6 linked regions of the Callithrix jacchus genome follow. The main gene of each other region encodes a partner of the protein of the gene in region 5 in a complex. Links are inferred from orthologs where the notes say so. Each region holds a gene or a part of one and is shown on either strand. Other genes may lie near its edges.

Evidence for each region.
Region 1: the proteins of CALCRL (region 5) and RAMP2 are in contact, whole or in part, in a crystal structure (PDB 3AQF), measured with the Homo sapiens proteins. The link is inferred for Callithrix jacchus from reciprocal best matches to the Homo sapiens genes CALCRL and RAMP2. Residues at the interface, in NP_001258680.1 of Homo sapiens: Arg38, Asn39, Ile41, Met42, Thr43, Gln45, Tyr46, Glu47, Tyr49, Gln50, Lys51, Ile52, Met53, Gln54, Trp69, Asp70, Gly71, Arg119; in NP_005845.2 of Homo sapiens: Trp86, Ile89, Tyr93, Ser94, Arg97, Leu109, Gly110, Pro112, Glu117, Ile120, Phe121, His124, Gln125, Phe128, Ala129, Cys131, Ser132, Leu133, Val134.
Region 2: the proteins of CALCRL (region 5) and ADM2 are in contact, whole or in part, in a cryo-EM structure (PDB 6UVA), measured with the Homo sapiens proteins. The link is inferred for Callithrix jacchus from reciprocal best matches to the Homo sapiens genes CALCRL and ADM2. Residues at the interface, in NP_001258680.1 of Homo sapiens: Val36, Thr37, Lys40, Asp70, Gly71, Trp72, Asp90, Tyr91, Phe92, Gln93, Asp94, Phe95, Asp96, Pro97, Ser98, His114, Ala116, Ser117, Thr120, Trp121, Thr122, Tyr124, Thr125, Asn128, Thr131, Lys134, Val135, Ala138, Leu139, Leu141; in NP_001240774.1 of Homo sapiens: Leu106, Arg107, Val108, Gly109, Cys110, Val111, Leu112, Gly113, Thr114, Cys115, Gln116, Val117, Gln118, Asn119, Leu120, Ser121, His122, Arg123, Leu124, Trp125, Gln126, Leu127, Met128, Gly129, Pro130, Ala131, Gly132, Arg133, Gln134, Asp135.
Region 3: the proteins of CALCRL (region 5) and RAMP1 are in contact, whole or in part, in a cryo-EM structure (PDB 6E3Y), measured with the Homo sapiens proteins. The link is inferred for Callithrix jacchus from reciprocal best matches to the Homo sapiens genes CALCRL and RAMP1. Residues at the interface, in NP_001258680.1 of Homo sapiens: Asn39, Met42, Thr43, Gln45, Tyr46, Glu47, Tyr49, Gln50, Lys51, Ile52, Met53, Gln54, Thr68, Trp69, Asp70, Gly71, Arg113, Arg119, Thr120, Phe228, Leu231, Ile235, Thr239, Val243, Ala244, Gln250, Trp254, Tyr255, Leu258, Phe262; in NP_005846.1 of Homo sapiens: Trp59, Ile63, Tyr66, Arg67, Ala70, Phe83, Trp84, Pro85, Asp90, Phe93, Leu94, His97, Gly98, Phe101, Arg102, Cys104, Pro105, Ile106, Ser107, Gly108, Arg109, Ala110, Val111, Arg112, Asp113, Pro114, Ile118, Leu119, Phe122, Ile123.
Region 4: the proteins of CALCRL (region 5) and RAMP3 are in contact, whole or in part, in a cryo-EM structure (PDB 6UVA), measured with the Homo sapiens proteins. The link is inferred for Callithrix jacchus from reciprocal best matches to the Homo sapiens genes CALCRL and RAMP3. Residues at the interface, in NP_001258680.1 of Homo sapiens: Arg38, Asn39, Met42, Thr43, Gln45, Tyr46, Glu47, Tyr49, Gln50, Met53, Trp69, Asp70, Ser117, Arg119, Thr120, Phe228, Leu231, Ile235, His238, Thr239, Val243, Val245, Lys249, Gln250, His251, Trp254, Tyr255, Phe257, Leu258, Phe262; in NP_005847.1 of Homo sapiens: Trp56, Cys57, Leu59, Phe62, Ile63, Tyr66, Glu67, Thr70, Cys82, Tyr83, Pro85, Asn86, Pro87, Leu88, Gln90, Ile93, Thr94, His97, Arg98, Cys104, Thr105, Val106, Asp107, Arg108, His110, Leu111, Glu112, Asp113, Pro114, Val118.
Region 6: the proteins of CALCRL (region 5) and GNB1 are in contact, whole or in part, in a cryo-EM structure (PDB 6UVA), measured with the Homo sapiens proteins. The link is inferred for Callithrix jacchus from reciprocal best matches to the Homo sapiens genes CALCRL and GNB1. Residues at the interface, in NP_001258680.1 of Homo sapiens: Lys167, Ser168, Ile394, Arg397, Asn398, Gln401; in NP_001269468.1 of Homo sapiens: Arg52, Phe292, Ala309, His311, Asp312.

Annotation. Positions count from the first base shown.
Region 1 is NC_133506.1:121,132,029-121,135,674, forward strand, and holds RAMP2 (receptor activity-modifying protein 2), read right to left. Parts: upstream 2,324-3,646; 5' UTR 2,288-2,323; coding exon 2,191-2,287; intron 1,726-2,190; coding exon 1,660-1,725; intron 1,184-1,659; coding exon 1,075-1,183; intron 942-1,074; coding exon 686-941; 3' UTR 501-685; downstream 1-500. UniProt on the Homo sapiens protein: Accessory protein that interacts with and modulates the function of G-protein coupled receptors including calcitonin gene-related peptide type 1 receptor (CALCRL) and calcitonin receptor (CALCR). Required for the transport of CALCRL to the plasma membrane.
Region 2 is NC_133502.1:219,044,239-219,048,453, reverse strand, and holds the start of ADM2 (protein ADM2), read right to left. Parts: upstream 2,801-4,215; 5' UTR 2,581-2,800; intron 2,509-2,580; 5' UTR 2,498-2,508; coding exon 2,388-2,497; intron 1,767-2,387; coding exon 1,433-1,766; 3' UTR 1-1,432. Other genes in the region: uncharacterized protein LOC118147770, read right to left, coding at 4,152-4,166. UniProt on the Homo sapiens protein: Intermedin/ADM2 is a peptide hormone that plays a role as physiological regulator of gastrointestinal and cardiovascular bioactivities mediated by the CALCRL-RAMPs receptor complexes.
Region 3 is NC_133507.1:159,155,066-159,159,044, reverse strand, and holds the start of RAMP1 (receptor activity-modifying protein 1), read right to left. Parts: upstream 2,801-3,979; 5' UTR 2,753-2,800; coding exon 2,701-2,752; intron 1-2,700. UniProt on the Homo sapiens protein: Accessory protein that interacts with and modulates the function of G-protein coupled receptors including calcitonin gene-related peptide type 1 receptor (CALCRL) and calcitonin receptor (CALCR). Required for the transport of CALCRL to the plasma membrane.
Region 4 is NC_133512.1:13,234,519-13,238,018, reverse strand, and holds part of RAMP3 (receptor activity-modifying protein 3), read right to left. Parts: intron 1,354-3,500; coding exon 1,221-1,353; intron 1-1,220. UniProt on the Homo sapiens protein: Accessory protein that interacts with and modulates the function of G-protein coupled receptors including calcitonin gene-related peptide type 1 receptor (CALCRL), calcitonin receptor (CALCR) and G-protein coupled estrogen receptor 1 (GPER1).
Region 5 is NC_133507.1:41,496,496-41,499,995, reverse strand, and holds part of CALCRL (calcitonin gene-related peptide type 1 receptor), read right to left. Parts: intron 2,428-3,500; 5' UTR 2,425-2,427; coding exon 2,341-2,424; intron 115-2,340; coding exon 1-114. UniProt on the Homo sapiens protein: G protein-coupled receptor which specificity is determined by its interaction with receptor-activity-modifying proteins (RAMPs). Together with RAMP1, form the receptor complex for calcitonin-gene-related peptides CALCA/CGRP1 and CALCB/CGRP2.
Region 6 is NC_133508.1:39,883,069-39,886,568, forward strand, and holds part of GNB1 (guanine nucleotide-binding protein G(I)/G(S)/G(T) subunit beta-1), read right to left. Parts: intron 1,830-3,500; coding exon 1,723-1,829; intron 1-1,722. UniProt on the Homo sapiens protein: Guanine nucleotide-binding proteins (G proteins) are involved as a modulator or transducer in various transmembrane signaling systems.

The sequences.
Region 1 (3,646 bases), on a different chromosome or scaffold from region 5:
GGTGAACCTAGTAGAGGAAGCCCCTACTGCTTTTGCCCTTAATTGTGAGGTCCTTAGGAATGGATTCCTGTTGCTCAGCCAGGGTTCCTCTTCCCAGGCCCTGGGAGTAAACTGAGGCATGAAGAAGGGAACAGTCAGGGCCCCTTGGGCAGCCTCCTGTCCCTCTTGCAGAGTCACAAGCAGAGATTCCTCCCTTGCCCCTTCCCCCACACCTCCCCAGTCGCAGGCCCCCAGCTGCTGTCCAGACCGGAAGGGAGTCTCTTCCTGCTTGTTTCCTGGAACTGAGTTTGGATAAGGGCAGGAAAGGCCCCCCTGGAAGGAAAGAATATAGGGGTGTGACCTTCATGGAGGTTGAGAGCAGGGGGGCAGGTGAAATTAACAGAATTCAAATTTTTCTGAATCTGGGCCATCCAGATTTTTCCGCTTCTGCTACCCAGAGCTGAGAGCCTGTGGGAGTGGCAGGGAACGACACAGGTCCCACTGAAATGAGGAGAAGGACATTGTACAAAAAAAGGTTTTATTTTGAAGATTACAGAACTTGTGCCATGACCCCACCCGGCCTCCACTTCCAGCAATCCAGGGATCTGTGGTGGGAGCGAGAGTGACAGAAGGGAGAAGGGGAGGAGGGAGGCCCTGTGGGGGTAGGGAAGCAGAGTCAGATGGTTGTTGAGAAGCTTGTGGCCCCCTAAACCTGGGCCTCACTGTCTTTACTCCTCCATACTACAAGAGTGATGAGGAAGGGGATGAGGCAGATGGGGGCTATGATCATGGCCAGGAGTACATCCTCTGGGGGGTCTGAGAAAGTTGGCTGCACCAGGGAGCAGTTGGCAAAGTGGATCTGGTGAGTCTCAAAGATGATCCTCTCTGCCAAGGGATTGGGGAAGCCCAGGTTAAACTCCTCCGCAGAGTGCTCCAAGCAATCTCGCAGGGTGCTATAAGGCCTAGAGGCAGGAGAGGACTTGAGTGAGTGAGGGGGTGGACCCAGGGAGAGAAGTGCCCCACACTCACTCAAGGTCTACCTGCAATAAGCAGGCCCAACCCCGGGCCTGAGCCACCCTCCAGCACCGCCCCTACCTGCTAATCACAGCCCAGTCGCACCAATCCTTTTCGATAGGATCCATTTGATACTTGTAATAATTCCAGCAAAGTTGGACAGCTGCCTCATAGTTCTCCATCATCTTCACTGTAGGTACAGATGCTGCACAATGACCACAGCCCTGCCCCTCCTTCCAAACCCTCCTGCCCAGGTGCCTGCCTTCAAACGGGGGGGGGGGGGGGGGTGCGAACCCTTCAGAAAGTTTCCCTAGCAAGAAGTTCTGGCTGAGGAGAGTCCCAGCTCAGGAATCCTGTAACGACTTCCCTGTGCTAAGCACTTTCCATCCCAGCCTGATAAGAAGTTCCACGTACACCTTTTCCTGGGGTCTTCTCACCCACCTGTGAGGTGGGCCAGTTCAGAGCTGTGCAGGGACTTTGTGGGAAGACAGGGAGAAAGACCACAAGGAACCCCAAGAAAGAACAGAGGGGAGTTTAGTGGGCCATCAGTTGGGGTTGTGCGGGCCTTGTGCGGGCCTTGTGCGGGCCTCGTGGGAAAGGGACTCTCCCCACTGAATTTGCTCTCGTCCTTGCCCTCGGCTACCCTTCCACATCCTGGGTACCCACCTTCTGACCCCGGTGTGCCTGTGGTGGGAAGAGGCTGAGCCAGGGTCTCCTGGGGCTTCAGGACAGCTGTGGGGAGAAGCAGGAGAGGAGGGTGGCATAGCGGGGACCCCAGAAGTGGGGTCTGCGGGGGGGGCGGGGGACTGAGACCCTCTGAAAGCAGGGCTACCATGGAAGAAAAAGAGGAATAATCTAGACCCCATGGACATCCCAGCTGGGGAGGGAGGGCCTGGCACCAGCTCCTTGTCACTCACACCCAGGCCCAAAGCCCCCTCCCCTCTGGCCAGCTCCCAGCCTCCCTTGCCCTCTCCGCGGAGCCGGGGCCCGCACTCCAGCTTTCCCCGGTGGGAAGCAGCTTGAGCTATGCCCGCCCCGAGGTGAGGTCAGGGACCGTCCGAAGGCCAGTGCTGCTCTGTCCGTCGGTCCGCGCCCAAACCCCGGGGCCCATTCCCGCCTCGCCCATCCAGCCCCTCTCCCATCTCCCCTCCGGGGCCTCCTACGCTTCCCGCCCGGGCCTCGCGGCGCCGCGCTCACCGCCCAGTAGGAGGAGGAGGCGGAGCGCTGCCGGCCGCCCAGCGCGGGTCGTCGGGAGCCGGGGGTCGCCGGCGCGCTCCGCTCGGAGCGAGGCCATCGTGCAGCAAGGAGGCGAGGGAGCTGCGGCGGCGCTGAGCCTGGCCCGGGTGTGGGGGCGCCTATATCCCCGGCCCGAGCCGCAGGAAGCCGCGCCGCTTCCTCGGAGGGGCTGGGACGGCGGCGGCCACGTGGGGGGCGGGGGCGACGCCCGGGGCCCGCTGCTGGAGGGGGAGTAGCCGCCGCACCCGCGCCGGGCGCCCGCGGCTCCCTCCGCCTTGCCGGCGTTGGCCCACACTCTCTCGCAGTTCACCCCGCGGGGCTGGACAGCTCCCGGAACCCCGGAACCGGGATCTATTTCTGGGGCTCGGCCGCGCGGCGCGCAGGACTCTCCGGGGTCTCCAAGGAGCCGCTCCCGGACTCGAGTCGCCCCCTCTCTTTCCGGGCTGGAGGGGTCGGCGAGCTGCTCTCTCAGACCCGGAGAAGAGGGAGGGGCTGGGAGCTCCAGCGGCCTCTCGACGCCGCTGCACCTAAGGGGCTGCCCTGGGCTGTGGGGGAAGGGGCTCCTGGAGCTGGGCCGGCCAGCTTAGGGTTCCTTATCTATCCCTGGGAACACCCGCTGTTGTCAGCCCGCCAGTCACAACCAGGGAGAAGCGGGAGTCGGCCCTCCAGAGTCGGGAGAAGATCTGGGGAGTGGGGTAGAGGGAAAACAGAAGTCCTGATACCCTCCCTTCAAGACACCTCCTGGGGCCCAGACCCCACAAACCTGTTGGGAGGCAAAATACGATGACTACATTCCTGGGAAGGAGGTGCCGCAGCTCTTCAGGACCAAGGTTGGGAGAAAGGAGGAAAGGGTTTAGAACCTTCAATGTGGGACTTCATGTGCGGGGTGAGTGTATTACTGTCACCATTTTACAGAAACGCTAAAGTTCGGGGCCAGCAGCCCGGGATTTGAATTCAGAAGCTCTGGGTTCTAATTCTGTCTTCCTCCTTCCCAGTCATAGAGCTTGCATGACGCGTTTACCTTCAGGGCTTACATAAAATAGGAACATTCCGCTCCTCACCAGTGAGGATGGCAGCTGAGAAAGGGCAGTGCGCTCACTGAATGTTAGTTTCCTTTCCTCTTTTCCTAAGCCACTTGTCTAACTGACACTACTAAGGAAGCAGCAAGGCCGAGCCTGGGCCTCCAGGGGCCCTGACTTCAGCCACACCACAGCTGCGGCTTGTGTCCTGGGCCAGAGGTTCATTAGCCTGAAGCAGCTGAGGAGCCCAGGAGCTGGTTTGGCCATGACGTTCAAGTCCCAGACACAGCTGTCAGCACCAAACTTTCCTAAATTACTCCCAGACACTGACCCCTGGACTCAGCTGCTGCTGTTGTCCCAGTTTCTGATTCCTGTCCATCACAAATTATCCATCATGG
Region 2 (4,215 bases), on a different chromosome or scaffold from region 5:
GCACCTTGGGCCTTGGCACTCCCAGGGCACCCCTTCCCCGAGAGAAGCCATCTTCAGACCCCACTTGAGCCAGTACTGCTCCCAGGGAGCTGGCCTTAACGGCCTTGCTGTGTGGCCCACCACCCGGACCACCTCTGCTGCAATCCTAGTCCATCTCCCAGGGCATGGAGGCCTCCACAGGGCAGGACAAGCCTGGACTGTGCCCACAGGGCCTCTTGGAGCACAGGTCAGTTACCTGGACCTGGTGATCGTGGTAGGCGCGGCCAGGACCCTCCCATTGTGAGGCAAGAGTTGAGGGGTGGCCCTGTGGGGGAATGTCCTGAGCCCTGTGCCGTGGCCTCTAGATTTGGGGTGATCATGGTGACCCTAGCAAACATTTGCAAATCAAGTGCTGAGCATTTGCCTAGTAGCAGAAGGAACTCTTTCTGAACTCTGTGTTCTGCCGGATGAATGGGAAGCCTGAGTGGCACACAGTGTTAAGTTCCCCATCCCCCCTGGGCAGACCGGCGGTGGTTCTTGTTCTTGCTGTCAGTTGGGGTGGGGCTGCCCTCCCTGGCTCTTGGCAAGTCGACTGCTGCCCCCACACCTGGTCCCACAGGTTCCCCACACCGGGTGGTGGTGGGGGGCCTGTATTGCCTGTAGATCCCCACCCTTGTCTGGCTGCCAACAAGGGTCTCACCCCTCTTGAGGTGGGGTGGGTCTATTTGGGCTGGGGGATCTTGCCCTACCCAGCCCTGCCCTGTCCTGGTGTAGGAAGGGGTGTCCCTGTCCCAGAATGGCTTGGGGTGGCTCCTGAACTTCTAAGGTCCCCTCCCTGGCCTCCCACAGGGGATCCAGGTGGGGTCTCCATGGCCACCTCAGTCTGGGCTCGAGTTGGCAGCTGGAGCCACAGAGGTCCCTTCATGACCTCTGGAAGGCCACCATCCCCTCACCCAATCCCAGGGGCCACAGCATCCCTGCCCCCGCACTCCCCCTCCTGTCTCAAAGACTTGGGGAGGAAGAGGCTGGGACCCTGGGCCAGGCAGGCATGTGGAAGGGCACAAGGCCGGGCTTCAGTCTGACTGGACCAGCAGTGGAGGGGCGACTCCAGCTAATTTAGCCTCTCTCCCCTCCTGGCCCAGAGGTGGCCCTGTGTGTTCAGGGCCTGGCTTCTGCTCTCTGGTGCTGCCACCAACTGTGTCTGGCAGCCGTCCCCCGAGTGTTCACAGTTTCAGGGTGTTCAGGCTCTTTGACGTGCCAGCACTGCATGTAGACCAGCCTTGGTCTACACGTGTGCAAGGGTTTATGTGTGCAAAACTGTGCAGGTATTCTTGCTACAGGCCCTGCTGTCTGCAGCTCTGAAGGACAGAGCTGGGGATGGGGCCCAGCTGCAGTTCTGGACGGGGGCATAGCACCCAAGCTGGGATGGGCAGGCGTGTGGCCCAGCCCCACCTCAGCCATAACTGTGGGGGCTTCTGGGGTCCACAGGAGCTGAGTCCTGCCGGCCAGCCGGTCCCATGAGCTGCCACAGGCGGTGGCTGAGATTCTGCACCTGGCAGGTACCCAGTACACAGCCCACCCGAAGGAGCTGGGCTCGGGGTCTTTGGGCGCCTAAGTGTCTTCGGGGGCCCGAGTGTTGGTGACCACCATCCCGGAGAGGCTGACCCATAGCAAGGACCAGGCCAGCACCCCTTTGTGGCTGGAGGGCTTGGTGAAGATTCCGGATCACAGGTCGGGGTGCAGGGTGACTAGGCTGCAGGCTGCTGGAAGTCCGGGCTGGGAGCTCCCTGCAGAGGCAGATGGAGAATGTTAACCCAATGACTCAGACTTTCAGAGACCCCAAACCTACCCACGTTTGCCTCTACGCAGCTCTGGGTCACTGCCAGGGGAAGCCCATGGCCCTCACCCACCCACACACACCCTGGAGCACTGCCAGGGGAAGCCCGGTCCCCCGGACCATCTCAGTGGCCTGGGTCACATGTGCCGGGAGCCAGCACCTCCTTGGGCAAAGGCCACCCCGAGGCCCAGCCTCTGCCGGTCACGACTCTCAGGGCTCAGGGTGACTTGGCTTCTGCTCTCCCTTTAGGGTGGTGACAGCCTGGGGATATCGCCAGCCTCCCCTCCCCCAGCACACAGCTCCAGGTGAGGGGCTGCTGTGTGTGTGTGTGTGTGTGTGTGTGTGTGTGTGTGTAGAAGCAACTGCCCTGTGTAGAGAGGCAGAGAAAGAAGGGCCTCTGGCCCTGCTGAGGCGCTGCGGAAGGCCTGGGTGGGGGGGAGGGGGAGCCTTCGCGTGGGAGGTGAGCCCTAGTAGTAGGTGGGGGTGGAGGGAGGGCGGCACCCATGCCCCCTGCACTCTGCTTCCCGGAGGGGGGGCCAGAGGGGTGGGCTGGCCCAAGACCCGCACTCACCTGGGTTTGACTGGACGCCGGTCCCCGCCCAGGCTGCGGGACAGCACGCTCGGGAGCTGCAGGCACAGAAGGCTGATGCAACCCAGGGCTGCTGTCGGGATCCGGGCCATGGCGGGCAGGGCTGCAAGGGAGGTGGCAGTGAGCCAGATAGGTTGGGGCAGCCTGAGCGGCGAGCCACCCCCTCCGCCAGCACCTCGGGGAGCCCTCCGCGGTCGGGGGTCGCCGGGCGTGGGCGTGGTAGCTGGGCACGGGCGTCCGTCGGGGCGCAGGCCTCTGGCGCGACTCTGGCAAAGTGTCTGGGGGCGGCCGCGGGTTGGGTCGCAGGCGGAGCGGGCTGGGCAGGTTGGGGGTCCGACCTGGAGCGGAGTGACTGCCCGGGATGGCACCTCGAGAGCTGAATACGTAGCCTTTCCAGCGAGGGGCGGAGCCGGACGCGCGGACTGGGCGGGCCCCCCCCGCCCCCCGCAAGCCCTGCCACCTTCCGGGGCGGGGAGGGGGGCTGCAGCCGCGTGGTCCTCCTCCGCGGGCGCAGCGAAGGGGCGGTGGAGGGTCCTGATCCCGTTGGGAGCGCTCGGAGACCGCCCGGGATGGCGGGGCACCAGCCTCACTCCCGCGCCTTCCCGTGGGGACGCAGCCCCGAGCCCGCGGGGGCCGGACTTTCCCAGACTGAAGCGGAGTTCTGGGGGACGAGCAGTCATCCGAGCTGATCCCAGGGCTGGGGCGGACTGGGGCCACTTCCCGAGTCCGGGCGGTCCCACTCTCCAGGGTCTGAACCGGTGGACCCACGGCCCGACCAGCGAGTCTGTGCGGTTCCACAACGGGCTGTCCATTCCACTCTCTGTCGCGGTACCCCCAACCCCGGGCTGTGCTCCTAAAAGGCTCTACCTACCCCCTCCCCCCGCCGCTCCAACCATGGACCAAAGTATAGCACGATTTTTGTAAGAAATTTAAACAAGTGTCCGGCTGTCGTGGCTCACGCCTGTAATCTCAGCACTTTGGAAGGCCGAGGCGGGTGGATCAGCTGAAGTCAGGAGTTGGAGACCAGCCTGACCAACATGGAGAAACCCTGTCTCTACGAAAAATACAAAATTAGCCAGGCTTGGTGGCACAAGCCTGTAATCCCAGCTATGTGGGAGGCCGGTGGAGGTGGAGGTGAGCTGAGATCGGGACATTCCACTCGAGCCTGCAACAAGAGCGAAGCTGCATCTCAAAAAAGAAAGAAAGAAATAAATTTAAGCAAGTGAAACGTGAGACTCCCCTCAACATTGCCACCCACTCGAGACCCCTACCCCTGTCTGGGTGGGAGCCCTCACCTGACCTAACCTGGGCATACCAAGGCGCGGCCCGAGTCACACATATCCGTGTGCGCAGACCTGCCCCATTCTTTCCCAAGAGCTGTTTCGGATGACCTGGTGGAGGAGTGAAGCTACTCAAAGCCCAATCCTCCATCCTCTTCGACTTCAACGGAGCATGCAACTTCGGGGGGGATGCACAGGGAACGTGGGGAAGGAATGGGACACTCGCCACCCCCCCCACCCCACCCCCCAGCCCCCCCAGCCTCATCAGCCGAATCAACCCTGGTGACCAGTGGGTGACAGGTGTCACAGCCCTGTGGCCCTCACATCGGAGACCCCATGCTTTCCTATGGTTGGACCTTCTCCTCCAACATGCAGGTGTTCTGTGATTCACTTCATCTGCTATTAATGCGAGTTTAGTTGATTTTCAGTCTTTCCATGAATTGCTGCCTTGAGCCCACAGATGTGTCTATAGGACACCTTCCTAGAAGTAGAAATTCTGGTTAAAGTTGAGCACATGTTTATGCTGGTAG
Region 3 (3,979 bases), about 120 Mb from region 5:
CATTTCTCAATAGCCCTGGCCTCGGACTGGCAAGGCGTCTGTGAAAGGAAGACACAAATCCAGACATTTCTTCCTGCAGCTGAACACACAGAGAGGGTAAACAAACACACTGATTAGCAAATGAGAATGCTTCAGATTTGGACTCCGGCATGAGAACTGCGTCCGGATTTAAAACCACGTGGCGATCTGAAGCAGTCACACAGCACTTCCTACGGTGTCCCGTCATTTCCAATTCTACTTCTATTTATAGAGTCATATATTTCAATTAATGTCGCAGCCATTAAAAAAAAAAACAAAAACGCACCTTCCACATGACAGCCAAGGCAGGCAAGCGTTTCCCAGGACAGATGACTGAGTTCCTGTGTGACAGCACCAGCCGGCACTCCCTGAGTGCAGCTGGACTCGAAACCAGGGCTGCCATGCATTCTTCCTTCCTGATTAGCAAACAGCTTTTTGGTGTCTCTACACAAACCTTTCAAAATGCATGTGGTTACGTTAGTCTCCAGCAAACAGAACAGTGCATAGGATGCTCGGAGGGAAAAGAACTACATATGGATCCTAAGGTTTGTTTTTTTGTTTTTTTGAGACGGAGTTTTCACTCTTCTCACCCAGGCTGCAGTGCAGCGGCATGACCTCAGCTCACTGCCACCTCTGCCCTCCCAAGTTCAAGCAATTCTGCCTCAGCCTCTTGAGTAGTTGGTATTACAGGTGCCCACCACCCCATGCCTGGCTAATTTTTTTGTATTTTTAGTAGAGTCAGGTTTTGCCATGTAGGCCAGGCTGGTCTTGAACTCCTGACCTCAGGTGATCCACCCACCTCAGCCTCACGAAGTGCTGGGATTACAGGTGTGAGCCATCATGGCTGGGTGAACTGTGAACTGAGATTCTCCCATGGCTGGGAGAATCTCAATAACTACCTAAGACAAATAGCTTGATTGTAAAATTGTCACAGATAAGTTCTTAAACCTGCACACTAGCGTTCTTAAAAAAAAAAAAATTCCACGTTGCCATTCTGGGTAGCAGAATCTTCATCACCAAGGAGATCTGGCTAGTGCTAGAGCCTGTGAAGGAAACAGCCTGTGCTCAGTAATTCCACGAATTACAGCTGGTCTCCAAATGACATTAATTTACCGATAACCTCATAACCTTCCAAGATATAACATTAGCCAGGCCACTCAAAATGATGTTAAAATTACAGGACTTTGGACTTCCAGCAGAACATGAATAGTTTTCTTGGTAAACAAGGAAGGTCTGTATATGTGATCGTGACATAGCGTTTTATTTACACAAGCCTTAGAGGGTGCAGTCTCTGGACACTAGTAAAGAACATTTATTTATTTGGTTATTTATGTGAAAAATATTCCACAGCCCAGCTCTCTGCCTTGCTAACAAAGAAATGTTTGTCTCTTAGGAAACGAAAACAGTGAAGGTCACGTCAAGCCAAATGGATCCGAACACAAGAGGAGGGAAGATTCCGCTGAGATGTGGCTTTCCACTTAACTTCAGCCAAAACACTCGAGTGGCAAGATTCGCTTTCAGATAATATTATGTTGGCCTCGGAGGATTCCATGCCGATCTGCCACTCCTTGGAGAGGTTTACAAACAGGGACCAGAAATCCATGGCTCCCAAGAAGCTCGGGCCCCTCTCCTCGCCGGGCCACGAACTGCTCCCCCAGCTACAGAAACAGCGCTGGCGGTCACTGCTTGCCCAGTGCCAGTGACAGGCCAAGGGGACTTGTGCGGCAGGTGCCTCTGACCAACATCACTGTTTCTGGGAAAAGGCCACATATACTAGAAACAACTGCTCTGGCCTTCCCAGGGGCACTGGGTTTTCTCCCACGCCAGTAATCTATTATTCGGTTTCCGTTGAAAGGTAGCTAAATACACGGAACGCAACAACCAGTGTAGAAGGGGCTTGAGTCAGCATGTTGGGAGCGCACTGCAGATGGGGGCAGTGAGCGGGGCCGTGCCTTGCTGAGTGTGTGGCCAGTTCCTGTGGCCACCGGGTAGTTGATAATCTCCACTCTTCCCGCAGGTGGAAAGCCGAGCGCGTTCCACCACTTCACCAAGGGTCCCGTCCTCTAAATTTCTATTAGCCGGAAGTGCCAAGTTAACAAGCAAACCAAAAGAAAAAAGAAAAAAAAAAAAGCGATGGAAATGCCTCGAGAAGGGAGGGCCTTATTTCTGCAAAAGGCATCATTAGCAAACAAGCGACTGCTCTGTCTGCGAGAGATCAGTGTTGACTCATCTCCAGACGAACGGTCAGTGGCTCCGACTCCCGCACACCGAGTCCTCTGCGAGGCGCCTGCCTGCAGGTTTTGCCACGCGGGACTGCCTAGGGAGGGGAGCCTGCGCTGGCGGTCACCGCGGCGCACAGCCTGGGAAACCGAGGTGCGGGGCTGGGGAACCCCGCGTCCTGTTTCTCTCCCGGAAACAAGTTCTCCGGTGCGCGCAGCTGACGCCCCACGCCTTTCAGAACGCCGGCTCTCCGACTTCCCCAAAGCCGTCCCTTCCGCGGCAAGAGGCGCAACTCCGGTCCGCACCCTCTGATTCCCGGTGCCCTGGGGCCTCCCGCCTGGAACCCGGGCTGCCCAGGTTCAACGGCAGCGGACCGCTGCGCCCTCCCTCTCCTCCCCTCCCCTAGAGGACGCCGGCGGGCCGGGGGAAGAGAGTTCGACCCGGATCCCCGACCCTACTCACCCAGGAGCAGCCAGAGGCAGCGCCGCGGGAGGCGGCACAGGGCCCGGGCCATGGTGCACAGCGGAGCCCAGTCCACCCACCACGCGCCCCGCCGAGGACTGAGCCCGCCGCGGCGCCCGCCCGGAGGAGACGTGCCGGGGGCGGGGGCGGGCGCGGGCGCGGGAGGGGTGGGAGGCGGCGGCCGCGTGGCCCGGCCCACTGTGGCTCCCCAGGTGGGTGCCAGGGCCGGGGGCGCGCGAGGCCGGGAAAACTTTGCAGGGGAGTCGCGCGGGCGTCTCCGGGGGGGACGGCACACTTGGACTTCGAGTGAGGCCTTCTGAAATGTTCTCACTTTTTAAACTAGGGAGGGTCTCCTAGGCGACTCCGAGGGAGCGGCACCTTGGTCTCCACCTGGGCATCTTCCCCTCCTCCTCCTCCGAGGTTCTCCTGCCTGGGGTTTGCTTTGCAAACAGGCTGAGATCTCCCCACCGCGTTTACCTCTCCTCCCAGGTGCAGGCGCTGGGGAGCGTTGGCGTCACCTCCCCCCCGCTTCCCCGCCAGGCGCCTGGGGAAGACCCCTAATAACCCAAGATGGCGCACACTCCCAGGCCCTGGAATGCTGCTCCAGATCTGCAGGATGAGTGGGTGGGAAGAGGCCGGGGGCTGGAGGGAACGGGGCTCTTTGGGGAGATTGAGATGGCCTGGGGGTCTCGCTGTTGATGGGTAGCGAGCGCCTGGCAGGAGGTTTGTGAGGGTCTGGGCAGAGAGTCCTTAGAGACGAGGTTTGCTTTGGGGACCGTCACTCTGGCAGCTGCATGGAGAACTGATGGGGGATCTTGGGTGCATTCCTTTATCTAAAGCGGTGAGAGGAGGGCGCTCTGGAGATGGTCTGGGAAAGCCTGGGGAGGGGTAAGTTCTGGAAGGCACAGGCCTGACCTGGGCTCTAAGGGCATTACTAGTGGCTGGATTTCACCTTGCAGTGGGTTCCTTCTTGCAATAACCTGTTCTGAGAACTCTTAGCAATAGTAAATTTATACTCATGCTAAAGAATGCACCGCCTCTGGAGGGGGACGGATCACCACCCTAGCGTTGTGGCCACAGCTGTCTCTCTTGTGGAAGTTGCAGTCACACGGCACTGCTGAGTGACCAACAGTTCCTCAGCAGTCAGTGGCTGAGCGGCTGCTGCCATCTGCTGTAAGCTCAGAGAAGGGGAGACAGCTGACAGGGAGGCCATCCACCAGCTCTTCTAACACAGGCTAGGAGGGCCCTCGGGGCCAGCATGCCTTCTCCCCCACTGCGC
Region 4 (3,500 bases), on a different chromosome or scaffold from region 5:
AGCTATGACCTCCTCCTCCCTGACGTCTTCCCCACCCGTGGGTCCACTTCAGGCCTGTGTCCAGGCCCACTGAGACCAGGGGGAGCCTGACAATCCCTTCCTGAATCCCAGCACCCCTTCCCAGCAGACTCAGAATTCCATTCCACTTGGTTCAGCAAGCAGTTCCCCCACGTGGTGGGGCTGCAGATGTGGCAGTCTCAAGGAGCCAGCTTCTGCTGGGCCACCAGAATGGCCAGGGCCAGGGAGGGTTTCCAGGACACGGCCAGGGTCAGTGTCTCTTCAGAGGGCAGGGGCTGGGGTGCTAGCATGCATGTGCCGGCTAACAGGCCAGCGCAGCTTGGGTCTGCCAGCAGCCACCAGCAGGGGGCACAAGACTGCAAAGCCAGAGGGCGGTGAGGCCGAGAGCCATTTCCAAGGAGGTAAGGAGATAAAAACTTGGGAAGTTTCTAGAACAAGGGGCCCTCCCTCCACTATGTGGTGTTGTCCGCAACTGCACCTTGTATAAGTCAGAGGGACCCAATTCCTCCAAGTCCTCTGACCACTGAGGACAGACCCAGCTGTGACTGGTGCTGTGAGAAAGACACACATGACAATGTCCACCCAGCTCCAGCTTTAAGGAGAGGCAGGACACCCTCCAGGCAAGGCATCCCCCAGGCAGGACACCCCCAGATCAGAGAACCCCCAAACTGGACAGTCCCAGGGCAGGGCACCCTCCAGGCAGAGCACCCCGAAGGCAGGGCACCCCCAAGCCAGGGAACCCCAGAACTGGACACTCCCGGGGCAGGGCACTAATATGGTTCAGGAGGAAAAGCGGACATGGGGAGGATTCCCAAATAACAGAGAGGGAGAAGCAGAGGCAGCGCTGAACTGCTAGAACGTTAGAATGAGGATGCAGAATGAGGGATAGGAAGCTGGGAAGGTGCTGTGGGTGAGGGGGCACAAATGCCACGGTGGGGGCAAGGCCTGGGCGGGGCTGTGAGTGATGTGCTAGCAGGATGTGGGTGGGGTGGCCGGAAACAGGGACAGAGTGTTGGGTGATAATGGAGAAGCCTTGGGCAAAGTATGGGGCAGCGCATGGAAGGGCTGCAGTCTATGGTGGGGTATTGGTGGGGCATGGGTGAGGGCTTGGGTCGAGTGCGGTCACACCATGTTCGGGTGGTGGTCAGGCAGTGGGCAGCGCCGTGGGCAAAGCAGATCCCAGGCCCAGCAGTGGCACTCACACGATGAACTCGGAGAGGTTGCACCACTTCCAGACGTCCACCTTGCCCATCATGTCTGCGAAAGCCTTCCCACACAGGGGCAGCCTCTCCAACATGCCTGTCTCGTTGCAGCCGCCTGCTCTGGGACACCCACCTGGAAAGGGGACAGCCATGAGAATTCCACTGTGGTTCACACTGGGGATGCCAGGACACGGGAGGCCTGAGGGGCCGTAACTTGAGGACTTACTAATAAGGCTCTGTTTGCAAGCCTGAGACCTTTTCAGCAGAATCCTCCACCCTCCTCCCTGACCTACCTGTCAGTGCAGAAAGGAGGTTCCCGCATAGGGACCTGTCCCCAAGACAGGACAAGTCCACCTTTTCACTTCACTGCCTCACAGGCAGTGACACAGGGAGGGAGTCGGCAGTGATACCCTGGGCCAGACTCCTTGGGGGAGTAGTGAGAGGGTCCCGGGCAGATTAGGACTGGAAAAGAGGCTCCAGCTCCAGTTTAGGATTCCTGGGGTCTGGGAGCATCCTGAGGACTCTAAGACCCGGGGACCATCCCAATGCCTGCAGGGGTGGCAGAACAGGGCTCTGGGCCAGTAAGGACCACCAGGCCCTCTCAAAGCCCCCTCCAATTCTGGGAAACCGGGGGCTAAGGCCACTGCAGAGACTCACTTTCCCAGCATTGGGAATGGTGGACCTTCTCAGGGTCTGACACAAGCTGCTTGTCCCAGGATTTCCCCACTGTCCTTCCAACCTCTGCCCACTGAAATATCCCATCCCCTTCCACCTCACGCCTTGGCTCCACACATTTCCCCATGGGGAACATCCTCCGTCCCACGGAGCAGTGCCCGCTGTCCTTCAGGGCCTGTCTCCACGGTCATCTCATTTCCACATCACAGGACCTCCCTGCCCCTAACCTCCCCTCAGCTGACCTCTGCTTTGGCACTCATGAACTCATCAGATACTCAAGAGAGAGCCCAGGCATATGCGTCCTGGGTGTGTGTATGTGTGCATGTGTGTGAGTGCATAGGCGCACGCACAGCCCCGCTACCTGTGTCTTGGTGTGTATGCGTGTGTGTATAGGTACACAGCCTTGCCATCTATGTCTTAGTGTGTGTGTGTGTGTGTGTGTGTGTGTGTATACATGTGCACATGTGTACGCAGCCTTGTCATCTGTGTTCTGGCAGCCGAAGCCGGGCTATAGGAGATCCCATGAAGAAGCGGATAAGGGTTAAGAGAACTGGCATGCTCAGCCCACCCACTGCAGCAGGAGGCCTGGACCACGGCTGAGGAAGTGACTGTGCAGACCACCCTGTGAGTGGCCCCAAGACCACAATGGAGCTACTGAGAGACAGGAGGGTGGCAAGAGTGAGTAGGGTAAGGCTGCAAGGAGTGAGCATGGGTAAGAAGAAGCCACGTGGTGTGGGTCAGCCCGGGCTGCAGGTGTCCACTGCGGGCAGGAAGGAGGCATTCACCTGGTAAGGGGCATGGCCCAGACCACCTGCTGCAAGAAGCAGAGCTCCTTCCTCTGTGTCTGCCAAGGAGGCTGAGACATGAGAATCGCTTGAACTCAGGAGGGGGAGGTTACGTGAGCCAAGATACAGTCCAGTACAGTCCAGCCGCAGCTCTTGCAGAAGGAACTGACTATATTTGGAACAGAGAAGAAGTCCATGCCTAAAGGTGTGGTCAAAAACAATGGATGCAGGCCTGGCATCCCACACCTGTAATCCCATCACTTTGGGAGGCTGAGGTGGAAGGATTGCTCAAGCCCAGGAGTTTGAGGCTACAATGAGCTATGATCATCCCATTGCACTACAGCCTGGGTGACACAGCAAGACTTGATCTCAGAAAAGAATAATAATAAATAAAATAATTTTTTAAAAAAGAAAAAGAAATCAAAAAAGACATGAGACTTTGTTAAAGCCTTAATAGATTTTAAAGGATCGTATAATGTCCTCTGACCACAATGGAATAAAATTAGAAATCAAAAATAAGGCTGGGCGTGGTGGCTTACACCTGTAATCCCAGTACTTTGAGAGGCCAAGACGGGCAGATCACCTGAGATCCAGAGTTCAAGACCACCCCAACATGGAAAACCCCATGTCTACTAAAAATACAAAAATTAGTTGGGCACGGTGGTATACAACTGTAGTTCTAGCTACTCGGGAGGCTGTGGCAAGATAATCACTTGAACCCAGGAGGTGGAGGCTGCAATGAGCTGAGATTACACCATTTTACTCCAGCCTGGGTAACACAGTGAAACTCCATCTCAAAAAAAAAAAAAAAAAAGAAAAG
Region 5 (3,500 bases):
ATCTTGCATAATTTTTTGGTAACATTCATATTGAGCTGTCATGATTTTATTTCTAGTAACTCCCAACTGCACTGAGTCCTCAGGACTCTCTTCTAATTCTGCTGTGACAAGAATCTGAGGGATTAAAAAAACAGTATCAACTTCATGAAAAGGATTATAAAAATGTCTTTGTCAAAGGCAGTCTGTCACAGTGGAAAACAGCCAGTGCAGTGATGTACTGGAAGATGAACTTGTTCTCTGGGGAAAATCTCCCATTTGTAATGTTTGCTATTTTCATGGTATAAATATCCCCTCCGTGTCCACTTTCAAAACACTAACAAGATGTCACCATTGGCAGAGTGGGAAAGCACAGTTGGTTCTCAGAAGCCTGTGGTAGCCAGCTCCAGGATAGTCCTTAATACATGTTCTGGAATGTAGACAGAGATGTCTTCCAATCTGACCCCAGTGTTTTTCCTGGCTCTGTGAATGAAGGCAAGATATTGTCTGTCCCCTCCCCTCTTCTTCCTTATTGTAAAATAGTATAAAATAACATCAAGATGACAGAGGAGATATATCTGGCACATGGAACTACTCACAATTTATGGTCATTGTTATAATATTTTGATAATAAAAATATTGGCAAATAGAAATTTTTGTGATGTTGGCAAATAGAAATTTTTCTTCTATGCACATCAATAAAGTTTTTGGACAAGTTATGTATTTATTTTCTTTCAATATAGTAGCACTATTTTAAGCTTCAATTCTACTTTAATTTCCACATGACATTTTTTCTGATTTATAATAGGAAGCCTGAATAAACCTCTTTTTAACCGATTTCTAGTAGTAATTTTTGCATAATTTATATTAACTATATTCCATAAGCTGTTATCTTCATATCCTTCCTTTGTTCCCTCATTGCCGTATTTCTGTTTTCTAGCAGGAAGTTGAATTTAGTAAAGTGAAAATGACATTCCCTCACTGTTGTAGCATCAGTCAAGTTTTACCATTGTGTGACCACCATTCATCATTAACTCTTTCATTCCTTTATTTATTTCCAAATAAAAATTTATGCAGTGGTAGTGTTGCACAAGTAATAAAGGAAATGTGTGACATAAAGAAAAGTAATATATTTGAAAACCACATAACTGCTGATCTTCTCAAAAAGTCTATAGAATTGCATAAATCCATATCATTTTTATCCTTCTGTATAAATCAATATCATTTTTATCCCTACTTGGAATACAGACTCTGATTTATATACTATCTTACACGAATTCAAGAGGAAGAGTCATAATATCTTAAATTACAATAATCAGTTGGTAATCTATTACAGAATTGCCTGCAGGAAAGTAATGTTCTGTGCAGCTTGCTCAGTGGAGGGTGTGAGCTGAAGTCAACTTAAAGATACTATCTAAGAAGTGCAGAATTTGGACTGCTCCTAGACTTGAAAATGTTTTCAAATACAAATGCTGACAGGAATGTAGTCTTGGGTTTGCTTGTTTTCTTTTTCTCATTTAGGTTTTCTGTATTCTCTGGGTTTCTTTGTTTCCATCTTTGTGGTATTTGCTAGAAACACCTCAAGCAAATTCTTTGCTGTCACAGGACTAAATGAGAGTATGTCTCTTGGTTTCTCGTGTTTGTAATGAGATAAGAGCACAGTCACTATTTGAGGCAGAGAAAAATATGGGTAATTCATTACTATGATAAAAATAAAATTAAGTGTATGAAGTATATGATTCTCAAGCAGAGCAGCTGAGTTTTTGTCTTCTTTGTCTGCCTTCCACCTTGGGCCCCATATCCCCAGTGTATACATGTAGAGGGGCAGATGAGTATGCACACTTATGCACGCACCTGCCACAAATTTAACATCAATTGTCTGCTTATTTAAATGAAGGATTGAGGAAATTAATTTAAAACACACTGCATGGTTCTAAATTGCCTTGCAATCAAGATATGTCAATCAGCTGGCAGAACGGGATAACTATCAATGGGAGAATCACTTTTTTTTAAACAGATCTAACTGTGAATCAACAAGTCTGGTTGAAACTATTTTCGCTACTATGTAAAACCTGTACTATAGTGTCATTCCGTTTGTATCTCTGATACAAACTATGCATAGTCCTCTGGTGTCTTATGCATTTGTGTCTATTGATCTTTCCCATTCTGATTCCCTCTACTTCCTCTCATTCTATACCTGTTATAGGACTAAAAGCATACACTGAATGAAAACTCATTATTGCTGTATCAATCAGATACAAAAATGTGATTAATTTATGTATCTAGTAACTTCCTTAATTTTCTTTATCAATTACAGGTGTATTGGAAGCAAAAACAGAAATAATCATATATTGTTATGCTTACCACAAAAAAAGGCAAGAGAACCAGAAAATACTGAGTACACTTTTTCTCCATCATTGTGCCAAAATGAAATATGCTATATAGCATAAACTGCAATAGAAAAAAAAGAAATATAATTCATGAATATTTATGATATAAACGTAGATGGCTCTCAACAGAGAATTTATTTTAAAACTACATATTAATTCAATAATTTTATTTTAAAGATTTGATTAATGGTTTTGGGGATTTTATTTTAAAGATTTGATTAATGGTTTGTTTAAAGACAGGGTCTCACTCTGTCACCAGGGCGAGAGTGCAGTGGCACAATCTCCGCTCACTGCAGCTAGACCTCCCAGGTTCAAGTGATCCTCCCTCCTCAGCCTCCCAAGTAGCTGAATTACAGGTGCACACACCACACCCAGCTAATATTTGTATTTTAATAAAGATGGGGTTTCACCATGTTGGTCAGGATTACACGTGTCAGCCATCCTGCCCAGCATGTTAAAATAGATTAAAACTACAAATGTTTAAGAGCATTATAATTTAAAGTATTAAGAAGCTTATTAACACATTTTAATTTAATTTAATTAGACTTACAAACAGAAATGCTCCTTATAGATAGATAGATAGATATTTTAATAATTATAAAACAAATGATAAAGGTATTAAAGCATTTTGCATGGATAGAAACAATTTTGATAGCATCTTTTATTATAAAGTTTACATTTATTTTCTGTAAGTATTCTTCTAATTTTAAATTTTCCGACTCCAGTTATTTAAGGAAGGAAATTGTTCTCAACCAATTTCTTGAGAATCAATGTCTATATATCATAAAAATGTCGTTATAATTTAATAGAAATTATTCTTCACTAGTGAAAATCAATTTTTTTTAAATAAGAAATAAAAGATTCCCTAAATCATCCACATTATTGAAATAACGTTACAGGGAATGAACAACATTAAATAAAATATTTGAATATTTTTAATGCTACATACAAGTCTGAGCTAATGAAAAATGGCCTCTAAAAACTAGTTCCTAATTCTGAGAGACAAGAATTGCTGTAGTGTATTTCCAAATGCTTCCACCCTGTGAAGTCCAGGAGCAACCTACTCTGACACGTTGTCAGGGTGTAGCCATAGACTATAATATTTATTTGACTGAATGACATAATTTGGCTCTG
Region 6 (3,500 bases), on a different chromosome or scaffold from region 5:
TTCAGCCTCCCAAAGTGCTGGGATGCATGAGCCAACGTACCTGGTTACTTATTTATTTTGAATATTTAAAAGGATTTTTGACAAACAATAATTTACGGAGTACAATATGGTGTTTTAATATATATCCACACTGTGAAATGAAAGAATCAATCTAATCAACATACCCATCACTAACCGTGTGTGTGTGTGTGTGTGTGTGTGTGTGTGTGTGTGTGGTAGGAACATTTAAAATCGACTTTACTAACAATTCTGAAATACATGTTATTATTAACTGCAGTCTCCATGCTGGGTGACAGATTTCTAGAATTTATTCCGAACTCAAACTCTGTACCCTCAGACATCATCTCCCCCCTCCCACTTTTATTCTGACTCCTCTCGCATTGGAAAAGCACTCATTTGCATATGGAATTGTATGGGATACAATATAGAACAAACTAAAGATAGAATCTTTTGTTCTCTAGCTGTTTGTGCTCTAAAGCAGACAATTTCACAAACAAAAAAAAGCCAAGCAGAAAATTCCAGGCTAACAACTGAATACAAAGAAATACTACTCAACCAAGGGAATGTTAAAAACCGCTACGTCAGGTGCTTGGAACAGCATGTCATGGTTACACAAATCAAATGGTACTTTACTAAATTATTTGGCTAGAACAGGCAGCAAATAAGACTTTGCAATAGCCTCTAAATGAGAGGAACACACAGAGTGTGCGATGACAGAGGTGAGGCGCCTGGTGGAAAAGCATGGGGTATAATTTAAAGTATAAAAAACAGGCTAGAACTGGTGGTGGCTCAAACCTGTAATCTCAGCACTTTGGGAGGCTGAGATGGAAGGATCACTTGGGGGCCGGGAGTTTGAGACTGGCCTCAGCAACAAAGAGGGATCCTGTCTCCACAAAAAAATATATGTATATTAGAAGGGTGTGGTGACACATGCCTGTGGTCTCAGCCACTTGGGAGGCTGAGTAGGAAGTGTTGCTGGAGGCTAGGAGGTAGAGGCTACAGTGAGACATGATCACACCACTGCACTCCAGCATGACTGACAGAGTGAGACCCCTGTCTCAAAAAAAAAAAAAAAAAAAGACAAGACAAGACAAGAAAAAATTGGAGCCCATGAAGGGAATTATCTTTTGGGATGGTAAACAAAAGGAAGAAGGCAGGGCAGACAGGCCAGGTGAGAGAAGAGTGAGAGCAGGTCACAGCGCATTCCCGAGTGTCTGCTGCTGAAAGCCAACAGCAAACCACATACAACATGATGCTGATTCTAAGGCTCAAAATGCTTCATCCCTCAGGATTCTCAGGTCAGGTTCTGTGATTTCCGGAGCCTGGGCACTGAAATCACAGAAGAGTGAGGGCCGACCAACCCTGAGAAACAGGCACAGAGAGGTCACTTTCTCAAGTTCCCATAAGTAGGATGCAGTAGAACCAGGAGGACAGAGTTCAAGAAACTGAAAGAGTTGTGAGAAGGGAGAAAGAAAAACCAGAACTTGTATTGATGTGACTCAGACAGTGAAGAAATGGCAGCGTCCTTTCAGTGCAGGTAAATGGAAAACAGGACAGGGAGTAGGCATCTGTGAATGTTGCACGTGGCGTGCCCAGGGTTCTGATTCAAGTTCCTCATTTTTTCGCTGTAAAACACAGCAAACGGTTTCGGGTTGTTTTCCCTTAGGAAAACAGAGCTGCCTGGAACATGTCAAGCAGCGTCCTGCTCACGCCCACACCTACCTGGAGTCTGTGCCCCAGTGCATGGCATAGATCTTGGCCAGGTGCCCCCGTAGTGTCCTCCTCGTGCGCATTTGGATTCTTCCCACTGGGTCGATGTTGTTTGTGATCTTGAAAATAAAAACGTTTCTGTGCATTAACATCTGTGATTAAACGACTCTCCTCCTCTTCCTTCTCGGTCATGGCTGTTGGCTCGCCCACTGTGCCTGCCTCTTCCCAGCCCTCCCCACAGTTCTCCAGTGGCTCCCATTGTGCCATTCTGCACTGAACTCCTTCTGCACTTCTCACCAAGTCTCAGTCTGCCAGTAATCAGGAACATGTTCGGCCTCCCCTCCAAGCACAGGAACACTGCCAGCCTTGAAGCACTCGCTGTTCCTTTCCTGCCTCCTTCCTCCTCTCCCTGTCCATCCAGGACCAGCTCCTCCTAGGTCTCTCAGTCCTTTGAGATCTCACTACTTTTCTGAGACACCTGCTTCTGCACGACCATCACTCGTAGCATAAGGTGTACACACACCTGCCAAGACCATCCTGCATTCAGACACTGATGTTAATGAGTTTAGGTTGGCAAATGGAGTAAGTGTATCACAATAGTGGGTTTTTAAAAATGGACAGTCCAAAGTGTTCTGAGAATTGAAATTCAGGTAAATCTATGTAGCCTAATTTTTTTTTCTTTAACTTACAATTTAACCTCAATTAAAATGCATCCCCTAAAGCAACTGAACAATTGAAAAATTTAAACATCTTCATTAGAAGTATGAATATAGTTTTTCTTTCACATTTCTGTCTAATTCTTTGGATTTTATTTTTACTTTTATTATTATTATTTTTGACAGAGTCTCACTGTCGCCCAAGCTGGAGTGCAGTAGTGTGGTCTTGGCTCAGTGCAACCTCTGCCTCCAGGGTTCAAGTGATTCTCCTGCCTCAGCCTCCTGAGTAGCCAGGATAACAGGAGCGTGCCACCACAGAATAACATCTGTCCCAACATGGTAAAACCCTGTGTCTACTAAAATACAAAAAATTACAACTAATTTTTGTATTTTAGTAGACACGGGGTTTCACTATGTTGGCCAGGATGGTCTTGAACTCCTGACCTCCAGTGATCCACCCACCTTGGCCTCCCAAAGTGCTAGGATGGACCTGCAACCATTGCCAGCATCTAGTTCCAAAATATCTTCATCATCCCAATCAGTCCCTGTCCCTCACCTTCTCCCCTCTCTCCCCTAATACCCCTGCTGGCCACTAGTTCACTCCGTCTCAACGCATTTTACTATTCTAGGTATCACAAAACATAGCCACTTCTGTTTGGCTTCTTTCACATATCATAATATTTATGGGACTTATCCCTAGTGTAGCCTCTGACTGTAGTGAGGTCCATTTAACGGCTGGTAAAACTCCAGGGGCATTTAAGAGACACCACATGGTTGATCCACTCACTCACTCATGCACATTTTGGCTGTTTCTACATTTTGGCTGTTGTAAATGGTGCTGCTACAAACATCCACGTACACGTGTTTGTTAGAAAACCCGTGTTCAGTTTTGTTGGGCATATATGTAACAGTAGAATTGCTGAATCACACAGTAATTCTAGGTTGAACTTTTTGAGGTATTGCCAAATTGGATATTAGAAATCGAAGTTTTGAGGCAGATTCTGTTAAGGAGAGGAGCTTCAAAATATCTTAAGAGAGTAGCAATATTTTACAACTATTACCTCTGTAACAGGAAGATAATTATTGAATAATTATCTTGATATATCTCGTTTTCATCTCAAAAAGCCCTTCTAC